Linked DNA regions of Alligator mississippiensis. The protein of the gene in region 1 interacts with the protein of each later gene in a pairwise test. Links are inferred from orthologs where the notes say so. Each region holds a gene or a part of one and is shown in the gene's direction. Other genes may lie near its edges.

Region 1 (6,004 bases):
GGGGAAACGTAGAAATGCAGGTGAGGCTGCAGACACATTTCTACCGGGGCCCGGGCTGGAGCCGCTCCCGCGGGCCGCGCCGGGAGGAGGAGGGGAGGTACCTGGGCGGGCTCCTGCTTTGCAAGGTGCTCCCGGGTCTTCAAGCGATGCTGGAGGGTTTGGTAGAGACCGAAGCCGCCCCCCAAGGCAAAAGCAGCCCCCGCCAGCAGGCGGCCCCGCGCTGCCGGGCCCGCGCCGGAGGGGACGCAGTAGGCCCTGCCCGGGGCCCGCAGGAGCCCGGGGGCCGCAACCCGCGCCCGCCACGTGAGCGGCCGCACGCACCGCCAGCCGCGGCCGGCAGCTGCCATCTTCACCTGCAAAAAGCGGCGCGGGCGGGCCCCGAAACCCAGGAGGCTTTAAAGATACAGCGGCTCCGCCGGCTGCCGGGCCAGCGCCCCCTGCCGGGCGCTGTTGAAATAGCGCCGCCAGGCCCGGCGGGTCGGTGCGTCCGGCTCGGCTCACGAGGGTGTTTGGGTGGAGGCGTCCGCCCGTCTTAGACTCGCGAAAGAGCTGGGGGAGAAACTGCTCTTTGCAAGCTTGCGGGCACCGACGCCCTTCTTCAGGCATAGGGAGAGGCACCTGCAATGCCTGATGAAGGGTGTTTGTGCCCGAAAGCTTGCAATGAAAGACTTTTTTGGATTTTTTTTGCAAAAATCTTGTACTAGTCGAGACGATTTATTTTATTAGACCAAGTCCGGATCGCCTTTTCCTCTAGACCCATACGGCTACAACCTGGATGCCCGACACCTGGAAGAGATCGAATTTTAGCTGGTTTTTAAAAATGAAATCTTCATATTTTCCCGAGTGGGAAGCAAGGGTGAGCACCTGAAACCTGAGATCCTGCCTTTGTTTCAAGGCAATCTGCATCAAGGCAGGACCTCACGGGAGGTGAGAGGCTCCACACCCGCTAATAAGTTGGTCTAATAAAAGATCAGATTCAACCAAAAAGCCTTGTCTGTCCAGACCAGCGATGAACTGCCTGCCCAGAGGAGTTGTCCATCTATTGGCTCCTCCGTGAACGCCTATGAAATATGAACTTTCATTTCTACTCGAGGACTTTTACAATCTTTTCTCCCATGCCCGGTGAAGGGTGTTTGTGTCCGAAAGCTTGCAATTAAAGAAACTTTTTTGCAAAAATCCTGTTCGCCTAATAAAAGATATCACCTCTACTATGAGTCCTGATTGCCTGAAGAAGGGCATTTGTGCCTAAAACCTTGCAAAGAACAACTATTTAGCTGGTTGAATATAAGATGACACATTTACACAAAGAACCTGGTCTGCCTCTGAGTGGACGAACATGAATAAAACATTCTCTGCAAGCAGCAGAGCAATTTTTCACAGGGAAAACTAAAGTCAAGATGGTGCTTGTGAATATTTAGTGAGGTTTTTTTTCCCCGCTTTTGAAGAAAGTCTACTCATCTCCACCCTCTGCTGTCACTGCACTGATTGTCTAATCCTCCCCTCTGCTTTATGAATCCACATGGAGGTGGAAAGGAGAAGGCTGCACTTCTGAAAAGGAGGGCAGCCCCCTCCTTTCCATCTCCATGTGGTTTCATGCCCCTCCATTCCCCACCTTGAGTGCTAGGCTGGTGCAAAGTACTGGCCCAGGCTTCTCCAGTCTAACGCATAAAAACAAGGAGCGGATAGTAACCGTTTGCACTTCTACAGCAGCCCTTATCTGAGATCTCAGAGGTTTACCCAGCTGATCAGCACAGATATTCCAGTCCCCTATGAAGCCACAGGTGCTGCAGAAGGGCTGCCCAGGGAAGCTGTGGGGGCGCAGGGTGCAGCTGAGTTGGTCTAAGGATGCGGGCAGAGGAGGGTCTTTGGGTGAATCCGATCTCTTTGATTAGAGCCACTCGAATCCTTGGAAGTCTCACTAGCAAGCTATTGGGTTTAAACCCAACAGCTTGCTAAGAAGAATTTTTCCAAGGATTGGAGCGGGTCTAATCAAAGAGATCGGATTCAAGCAAAGTCCCTCGTCTGCCAGGGAAGCGGGAGACTCCCCATGACTGGAGGTGTTCAAGGGGGGGGGGCAGCCACTGGCCAGGGGTGATGGACGGGCACCGGACCCCAGTTCTCTTTCCTGCCTGGTGCAGGCGCCTGGACCCGCTGATCTTCCCACATCCCTTCCAGCCCCGCAATCTGTGGCTCTCCGATTGCACTAGGGGTACTTCCCGGGCTTCTTTGCTGATTGCACCTGCGCCCCCTCCCCGCACAGGAGACCCAAAGAACCTCCCGAGACTCGCCAGCTTCACTCACTACCCAGAACCAAGCACTTTACTTCCGGGGCGGGGCCGCGCTGTCCACAAGCCCCGCCCACGTGACACACCCGCCATCGCTCCGCCCCCTTCCGGGTCAAGGTGGCTCCGCCCCTCGTCGGGCAGGGGGCGGGGCTTGGCGGCGTTAGTTCCGGGCGCAGCATGTCGGGGCCGAACGGGGAGCCGCACGTGGCGGGCGGCGCGGGGCCGGGCGAGGACGGCGGCGAGGACAGCTTCGGGGAGGAAGGTGAGCGGCGCCCGGGCAGGAGCCGGCTCTGCTTGGCCCGAGGCAAAACGGCCACATAGTGCGCCCGCCTCCCTGAAGCTCGGCCCCCGCGGGGAGACTGGGGGTTGGAGCCAGGCCTCGGTCGTGGGAAGGGCTGTGCCTCCCCGTCCCTCTGCTGCGGAGAGAGGCGAGGGCGAGCGCTGCTTGCGCCAGCGGTGCAAGGTCTGGGATGCCGAGCGCTCTTCCTCGGGGCTCTCTTTGTAGTGCCTTGCACTGGGGAGCGTGTCTAACCTTACCCACCTACATCCTTGGCCCAATCAAATCCTCGCCTCTGGACCGTCAGGGCTGCATCACTGTTGCGCTACCATATAAGTGGAAATTTCTTCCTCCTCCTTGGTCACGCTGGAATAGCTTGTTCAGAAGGAATTGCAATTAAAGGTATTTTTTTTTTGCAAAAATCTTGTTGGTTTAATAAATCCTCTCTACTATGAATCCTGATTGCCCTGTTCAGAACACACCCCAGTCTGTACTGGGTTTGTCTCTGCATGCCTCCCCACTGCTCCGGGACATGTCCTCTTTGCTGCTCCGGCTGAGAAAACTAGACCCCTGCCAGTGGGATGCAGGCTGTGGCACCCCTCAATGCTCCTTTCAGTTTTTTCAGCTGTGCAGCAGCCAGGGAATCGACAGTTGTTCACCTTCAGCGCCTGCTCTTGCTTGCTTGGTAGACCTGTAGGATCTCAGAGAGTTTGGACTTTTCTATAGCTCCTTCCTAAGATCTCTTGAAGCTTTCTGTATCTGTATAGTTCTAGGTCTTGTCAAGGCATTTGTTCCAAAGTATATCATTGCCAGTGGAGACTCAGTAGATGACTTCATAGTCCTGTTAAATCTTAGTTTTTTGTGTGTTGGCTCTCCAGAAACAACACACGGTCCTGTTGTCACTTGCTGACAGCTTGGTATGCTCTTCTGTAGTGGAGTTGCCAGTGGCTACTGTCTGCATTAATTGGTTGGGTGGCTGAACCTCCCCTGGTACAGCTTGTGTCATACCAGAAGGATGCTCCTCTGGTATATTCCCCTTGTGGCTTCATGTTGCATTTCTGCAGACATTCAGCAGTTGATTTGCTGAGTATCTGATAACACCTGTGATGTTCCTTGCTGGGTTGAACATCTGGCTCTCCTTCCTTGCTTATTTGCAAAGAGTTTTTCTGCTATTTCAGGGGTCTCCACTCTCTCTGGTTTTCTTTGTCACAAGGGGAAGAGCAATGCAGCAACAGCTATCAGTTGTCCAAAAAGCTTTTGCTTTCTCAGAGGCTGTGCTGAAACTTAAACTTCTAAACTGCACCTCTTCCAGTGTGGCCTCCTGTGCCCATAGCTGAGAGGAGAATGCAGCACACAGGGATTAACGGTGGTTCTGTTCAGGGGACCCAGCCATAAGGCCAGTACTGATTTAAAAATAGACTTGTAGCTTGGACACACAAAATAAACTGACAAGATGAACTCAATGCACCAGTTGCCAGTTCCTTTTACTTCCAAGCACAGGATCCTCTGTAACTCTGCTGTGTGCTGCTCCTGTTTCCCTACTGAATGGTGGCTGCATGAGGTCTGGTGGGAGAGGAGGGCTGCTGACACAGGCCCTGGCATCTCATGAGGTCAGAGGATGAAATATCCTGAAAGCTTCAAAACAGTACTGTCCCAGGCCAGGGATGGGTCACTTGGCATGATCTAAGCCACTTCATTGTGTTCCCATTCAAGTCAGAGTTGCTTACTTCAGTGTCACACCTAAAACGGAAACAGGGTCAGGAATCTTGGCATGGCAGCGTATGGTGCAGGCCTGAAGTTTTAGTGAGGGTAGGGCTGTGCCCCAAGCATTTCATAATGGTAATGACTGTGCAGGTGTGTTGCTTCAGGTAACATGAAAGACATGTCTCCAAATGAAAGCCAATTTAATTCTTTGTTATACAATTCAATCATACTTGAATGGAATGAACATTTCATCTTGTCCTTTGAACAAACTAGGCTGGGGAACCAGCTTGAGCCTTGCCCTCAGGTCAGTTTGTGCCAGCTGTGTGGCATGCAACTTTGATCCCGCACAGCTGGTTTAGACTAGATCTTCTCCTCCCATGTGAGGTCTTAAATGGTCAAACTTGACTAGCATGGTCTCAGTAAATGGGTTAACAGCTTGGGGTGGATGGATCAGTGTGCCTCCAGTTTTATTGCTCCTGGGATGTTGAGATGTTTCCGTTTGGCCCTTGCAATGGGATTCACCCCGCCTCAACCATGAGAGATGCTGTGATGTTGTAGCAGTTTAACCCAGGCCAGACCCTTAAGTGACAGGTCCCAGATTAAGTACCCTGAAGATGCAAGTCCTCCAGGCAGTGTAAGCTCTTCTGTAGTACCCTGCCACACTGTCCATGCCCTGAGCAGACAAACCTACCACAGGAGTTGAATAGGTTAATTTAACCCTGATATCAGTTCAGATTTCTTGCATTTTTAGATAGCCATTTCCTTGGGAACAGGCCTGAACCCAACAACTTGCCTGCAAGTCTGAATAGTTCAGGTTAGATGGCCACTCCCAGGCTGTGCTGTTGCACAGAGGTAAAAAACCCTGTCACATCACCAAGTACCCAAACCACCGTGTCCTATTGACTATCCAAACCACATCTATGTGACAAGATGCAGTTGCATTTTACCTATACATGCTGCCTTGTATATTCTGGGCATATTTGTAAGAGTTCTAGCAATGTGGTCCCTGCTGGCCTGAACAGGGGGAGTAGAAGTTGAAATTGTTCTACTTCCTCCTAGAATATGCAGCAATAAATTCCATGCTGGACCAGATCAACTCCTGCCTGGATCACCTGGAAGAGAAGAATGACTACCTCCATGCCCGCCTGAAGGAGCTGCTGGAGTCCAACCGGCAGACACGTCTAGAGTTTCAGCAGCAGCTGAGTGAGGAGCAGAACATGCAAACTGACACGCAGGGACCAGAGCCAACCAGCTAGTTCCATCAGTTTGTGCACAAACCGCGTCTCCTGGTTGATGCTTCCCCAGGGACTTCCACTGTCTCTTGGTTTAAATGTAAACTTGAATAGAAAAGGCACATCCTGCTTGCTGTGTCCCCTCCAGTGGTTCAATTTTCTGCCCTTTCTGTGTATCTGTGTTTTCTTTTTAAATGTGTGAATTATACTACAGAGGTAAAAGAGTAGGTGTGGGGGAAGTTGATCCTTCAACATGCCACTTAACTCCAGCACTGAGCCACCAGTGTCTCCACTGGAACTAGTCCATGGGAAGTCTTGTTCATGTCACAGGCCATGTGAAATGGAGTCAGCTGTCCTTCACAGCTGAAACTACTTGGGGAGGGTGCCCATGCCTGTATCTTCTAGCCTATCTTTCCTCTAATATGGGAATTGTAAGGTGTACAGTGCTGGCACTCTTCTAGCAAACAGTGGTGCTGTCCCAGCCGCAGCTTTGTTCCTAGCTTTAA
Region 2 (6,004 bases), on another chromosome or scaffold:
AATGCAATTACTCCAGAATATTTACTTTGAATTTAATTCCATAATGAAGAGCAAACACCCATGAAGTTCTCTTATCTCCCTGTCTTATCCAGGTGCTATTACAGCACCAGACCCTCAAGTAGCAGAACAGCATTAGGCAAAAAGACTACATCAGGATGATACTAACAGGTAGGGTCATCTGTGGGATAGACTGAACAGCTGAGAGAAACACAGCCTTTAAATCAGGAATGTAAATATAAATATTGTTTTAAAAGTTATCCATTTAATCTCCTCAAATTATATTGGTTAAACAGTTAACTCAAAGTGTAGTGACCTCTGGCAGGAAGCCATGGGTTGGAGGCAGCAGGTGTAGCCAAACCACTAAGGGGTGCTGCCCAGCTGCAGAACCGCAGCCCTCAAGGCTGGAGCTGCAGATTCCTCGTGTCCAAATCCTCATGCCACAGGGAGGAAAGAACAGAGGAAGGTGCTGGGCTCCCCCACAGGGGAGCCTTCCCATCACAGCAGCAAGACTCCTAGTTCCATGGAGGGTCTTCCCAGGCCCCTTATAGCAGCGGGGCCCAGGCAAGGTAACAGATTCCTTGAGCTTGTCCCACCTTGATCTGGACCTGGAAGTCTCTGTGCTGCTGGGTCAAGCCCTCCCCAGCTTGCCCTGGGGGAAGATGAGGTCCAGACCCAGTGGGGTGGCCTCTGCCAGGTGCACTATGTCCTTCCCCTTCTTGTCTGTGGCAATGGGGCTACCTGGGGCCTGGCCCAGCCCTGAGGCAGGGCTGGCATGGCCTAAAGAGGCACCATGGCAGCTGTAGCAGGCAGCTCCAGGTTAGAGAGGGGATTGAGGCTAGTTCCTTGAGCGGTGATCTTAGCCCCACAGCATTCATGAGCTCCAGCCTAGGAGGCTGCTGTTTCAGCCCTAACACTCCCCCTGGGATCCCTGCTGCTCCAAAAGAATGCCATAAGGCTGTGCTCACCATGCGAGGGGCCAGCAATGACCTCTTAGCAGCCCTTTCAGGTCCAGGCCACAGTGGCATAAGTGCGGCAGAAGGCACAGGACCCTGTCACCCTACCTGGACCTTGTTGCTGGAGATGAGGGGGCGACAAACCCATCACAGGGATGGGAAGGCCCCGCCTGACCCATGTGGGGGGACCCAGCACCTCCCTGCTTCCCTGAGGTGGTGGGATCCAGGCACAGGAGAGGTCCGCAGCCCCGGCTCTGTCCACAGCCCCAGCCCACGATGGTGAGAAGGAGCCGCAGCTCCACAGCTGGGCTGCACCCCCAAATGGCTCAGCCACACCACTATCCCCCACCCACAGCTCCCTGCCAGTGGCCTGGGGCCCACGCAGAGCTGCTTGTATGGTGAAGACACAAGGGGCATAGGCCAAGGCTGCTCCTGCTGGAGGTTTCTAAACAGTAAACGGTATAAATAAAATTGTTGTTTAACCATTTACATACTTAAAACATTGCTACATTAGACACATTTTTTGCTCAGCATTTTTTCGCACCTCTGTGAAAACAGAGTGTACTGTGACTGCCCCCAAAACTACAGAGCTGAGCGTTTCCAACCCCATCTGGTAATGTCCACCTCCGCGTGGTTTTCAACTTCTCACTGGCGATTTGAAAAGCTTCTCAGACTCGTAACCAAATCCGTTCTGCGGGGCGCGGACACGAAGATGGGCTTTATACCCCTTTATCTCCTGTGCTCTGCCCCGATGCCCTGACCATCCCAGGTGCACGGATAGACCCAGGGCCCTACAGGCACCACCGGGCCCCAAGAGGCGCTCACAGGGAGAGGCAGCTTTGCACCTCTGCTATGAGGGCCGGGGCCGCCGTGCCTGGCATCTCATCAGTCCGGCAGGCGACGCCAAGCCCCAGGGGCTTCAGAGAAAGCCACGAGGGCCCCCGGCGCAGCGCGCCTTCCTGGCCCCCGGCCCTCAGCAGCTCCTGGCCTCACGCGGGAGACCTCGTGCCCTTTTCTTTTTGACAGCTCGTTGCTCCGGCTCTGCTCACCCTGCGCCTCGCCGCAGCCCCGGGCAGCTCCGCCTGGGCCTCGCACTCTTGTCGAAGGTGCCCCCGGCCCCGGCCGCCCGCCCCGAGGCGCCGCATCCCGACCCCGCCCCGGGGGAGGGGCCGGCCTCAGCTCCCGGGAGCAGCGCAGGCAGCACCAGCTCGGAAACGAGCTCCGCGCCCCCGCCCCGCCCCGCCCCGTCCCGTCCCGTCCGGGCCGCTCCAGACCTGGCGCCGCAGGCTAACACTGCCTCCCAGCCGCGAGGCTCCATGTCCCCAGCCCCGCCGCTGCCGCCGAGCCTGAGGCGGTGACTCCCTTCTGCAATGCGCGTGCGCACCATCTCCCTCCCTCCCCACCAGCCGCGGAGGATGCCGGGTGTAGTGCGCAGCCGGGAATCGTAGTTGCCGGCAGGTGGCGGGGCATGCTGGGAGCGGTAGTTCGCTCGTCTCGCCCGCGGCACAGCTGTCTCTAACGAGCGGCGCCTCACGTTCCAAGCCTGGTGCCGCCGTGCACCTTGGGGCTTGTAGGCTTGGCCTTGGCCGAGCGTCCATCCGGGGCTCGGAAGCAGCGGGGCTGGTGGATGGCGTCGCCTAGCAGCGGCCGCCGCTTCCCGTAGGGCCCGGGGCGACAAGTGAGGGCCGGGTTGGGCCAGGCCAGGGCGTCCCTCGGGTGCCGCTGGGCGGGGGAGAGCGTCGCTCTAGTGGGGGGTTCCCAGCGCGCGGAGGGGCAGGAGGAGGCGTGTGGGCGCGGCCAATTTCGGGGGTGCCCGGCCGGGGGTGCTCCAGCTGCTCGGGGCCTGCTGCTGCAAGGGTCAGAGGAGTCGCCTGCCTGGGTGTCCGGCTCCGAGAGATGGGCAGCGGTGGAGCTCATCTCGCTCCCCGGACCTGCGAGGTCTTTCTCGCTCCGTGTAGAGCGCACGGGCCGGTGCAGGGGCGAGGAGGGTGGGTGGGAAAGTCCATTTTTTCCTGTCAGAGCAGTTGTCACTTAAACTACACACTAAGACCAGGTGTGGGAAGTATCTGAAGTCCCGGACTAAAGAGTCTGGGAGGAAGGATGATTTCCTGTAGCATCTGCAGGCATCCGAATGCCAAGACCTGCGGGCCTGGGCCTGCAACTAGGACACCTGCCAGTGGATTTGGGAGGATGTGAAGTCCCAGGGTGAGAGCCTGGGGCTGAGAATGCTGGTTGTAGCACCATACATGGTGTTTAGAAAGATTGAATTCTGCCTGCTCCATTGATACGGTTTTTGGAGCGCTTGACTTCTGCTCAGTCAATATGATTTGGAACTGATTTAGCTGATTTGACCTGGAACACAAAATATATTATTATTATTAATAATAATAATAATAATAAATCCATTGATTTCTTCTCCTCCAGGCAGCAGGTTGTGTGGTTCAAGTGCTGCCCCAGATGGGCGCTGGGTGAGGGGAGATGATTCTGTGCTTAGGTTCCTGGATGCCTCCTGGCTGTTAAACATGTGAAGGATTTATGAGCTCTTTCAGAACAGTAGGTTCAGAACAGTAGGGGCTGGGGTTCTAGGTCATTACATCTCGTGTCTCTTATAATCATTGTACTGATGTCATTAGCCTTTTTGTTGTCTTAGGCTCTCTTTCTGCTTTTTATTCTGACAGGGTTATCATCTCTTTCTTTTCCAGGAATATTTTTGTCTTCATTTGTCATCTTTTCTCTCAAATAACAGACCTGTTCTCCTATTTCAGAAGGTATTTTGTTGTGTTCTGCATGAGGTCCTTCTGTGGTTTCACCCTAATTTAGAGAATTTTTAGATCAGAAATATGTGCATATTGTCACATCTTCCTTGGGAAATCAGACATCATAATGTACTCTGTTTAAATGCATAGCTTTCTGTCTGGAAACATAAAAAGGCTGTGTATTTTCCTGATTTATGAACTTACCCAAACTCAGTGTAAGCAGCACTCATTAAGAACACAATATCCTATCTCAGTCTTTTTCAGTACTGTACAGGGCTATTAGCAGTCCTGATAATGACTTGGCTTCTGGACATTTTTAAAGCTTTTAAAAGCAGCCCTGAAATTGGCATGCTCTGGTCAGTTTCAAGGCTTTTAAGGGCAGCTTTTTGACAGCTGTTTCCTTTCAGCCTTTCTGTCGCAGATATTATGTATTTACATGGATTAAAATTATATTACACAGCAGGTAGTAGAAGCTACCTGGTTTATACATTTAATCCATATGCAAATAATTGATACATGTGCTAACAGGCAAAAAATTGCAACCTGCTTGTATGGTAACAGACTCTTCTTATCCACATATGAGTTAGATGCATAAAATGGTTAGAGGCCTGTGTATCTTTCAACCACTCTACTTCATATCCTAGTTGTGCAGCGAAGGAGCAGCAGCTGTCAAAGGCCAGCTATTAAGCTTTGACAATGATGAGGGGTATTTATTTCCTTGATTGTCATCTCATCTCATTTTCATGATTTCTAATAACTCCAAGAGTGACTATTAGAAGTCTTTAAAATGATGGGAGGATAGTCATTTTCCGGGCTGCTAATACCACAGCACTAACAGGACTGTGTACTTAAATATTGATAGTTTAAATGAAAGTTTGGATAAGTGCATAACCTGCGTAAATGCTGGCCTGAGAACAGACGCTGGTCTGTTCTTAATCTCAAACGGTTTATGTTTCTCTCTCCATATATATACATATACATATATTGCATATTTTTTAAAACTCCTAGTAAACCGAGAGGTGGCAAAGAAAATGAGTGATTTGTATCCCAGCTTAATTGCACAGCTGGAGAAGTTTTTCTGGCAGACTGTTCAGACAATTATAGGAAAGTTTTTGAAGGATGGTAATGGCAGGAAGTTTTAAGTTGGCAAATCTCTACCCAGGGTTCATTTAATGCAGAGGAATGTGAATCAGTTTCTAATAGTGCAGAAATTTCCCACAACTTTAGTAAAATGAATGGTGAAAAAGATCTCAAAGGTCTTGCAGCACTGTACAGAGGTCCTATCTGAGAATTTGCACAAAATATCTGTTCTAATTTTCTACGTCAACTAGCAGCAACTGACTTGCTTGTTTTTTTTTCCAACTGTGAGAGCCATTTTCATAAGGAGAATAAGTAAATTATTTATATGTAGTAGGATCTAATTGCTCTATTTGGACTTTGTCAGCCTGGGTAGGAGCAGCCAATGAACAGTAGCAAACAATTAATCTCTACCTCATGTAAAATCTTTTCCAGGTCCTCACATAATGTCCAATAATACACAAAAACTTTGCAGTACCTAGTTGTAGACTGGCTGGTTATAGGCAGTAGAAAGAAACTTACACTTGGGTGGGTGTATTGCTTCTAATGCTTAATAGCACCCTCATGATAGATTTTGGTCAACAGGTTGTGAGAAGCAGATGATAAGACAGAGGTATCAATGTAGTGCTTGATCTGGTTCTTGTATATATATCTCCCAGTGATGCATTCATATTGTGCAGTATCCAAGATTTTATTTAAAAGGAAAAGAACATTTCTATCCCTCATGCTTGCAAAAGTAATCTAGATGTGGGAAGAGTGTAAACCAATGAAACAGTTCACCCTTGGAAGGTGTAAAGTCTTGTATTGTTTCCTGTGATTCACTTTCTTGCGTTTGGCAATTGTTTTAGCTTTAATGTAATGATCATTATTATTTTTGTTGTTGTTTCAGGGAAGAAACAAAGCTATTTTAAACTTAAGATGGCCCCCAACTTAGACTGGAAGATGCTTATGAGAGTTGACCCAGATGCTCTTCCACGTCAAGAGGAACTGGCGGATAGATTGCTGGAGACTGTGTCCAAAGTACGTGTATGAAGTACAAGAAATGTAAATGTTTTTGTTATGCATATTTAGTGAACCAGTTCTGGTTCCACAAAGATTTAGCATTAGTATAAATTTTGTTTAATTCTGTGTTATTTATGGAAATCATTCTATTGTCTATTTAGGTTGAAGGAAATGACCTAAAAAGTGAAAATCCTGAACAAGTAATACATCTTTTTA

Evidence for each region. The genes of interacting proteins can lie anywhere in the genome.
Region 2: the proteins of BBLN (region 1) and CEP290 interact in binary tests that used the Homo sapiens proteins (3 or more experiments, as listed by UniProt). The two-hybrid records come from large-scale screens. The link is inferred for Alligator mississippiensis from reciprocal best matches to the Homo sapiens genes BBLN and CEP290.

What each region holds. Positions count from the first base shown.
Region 1 is NC_081835.1:57,734,302-57,740,305, reverse strand, and holds the start of BBLN (bublin coiled-coil protein), read left to right. Parts: upstream 1-2,431; 5' UTR 2,432-2,462; coding exon 2,463-2,547; intron 2,548-5,325; coding exon 5,326-5,522; 3' UTR 5,523-6,004. Other genes in the region: PTGES2 (prostaglandin E synthase 2), read right to left, coding at 102-347. UniProt on the Homo sapiens protein: Essential for intermediate filament organization in intestinal cells, interacts with intermediate filament and regulates intestinal lumen morphology.
Region 2 is NC_081827.1:84,380,344-84,386,347, reverse strand, and holds the start of CEP290 (centrosomal protein of 290 kDa), read left to right. Parts: upstream 1-2,532; 5' UTR 2,533-2,631; intron 2,632-2,977; exon of another isoform or gene 2,978-3,158; intron 3,159-3,655; 5' UTR 3,656-3,721; intron 3,722-5,675; 5' UTR 5,676-5,704; coding exon 5,705-5,806; intron 5,807-5,949; coding exon 5,950-6,004. UniProt on the Homo sapiens protein: Involved in early and late steps in cilia formation. Its association with CCP110 is required for inhibition of primary cilia formation by CCP110.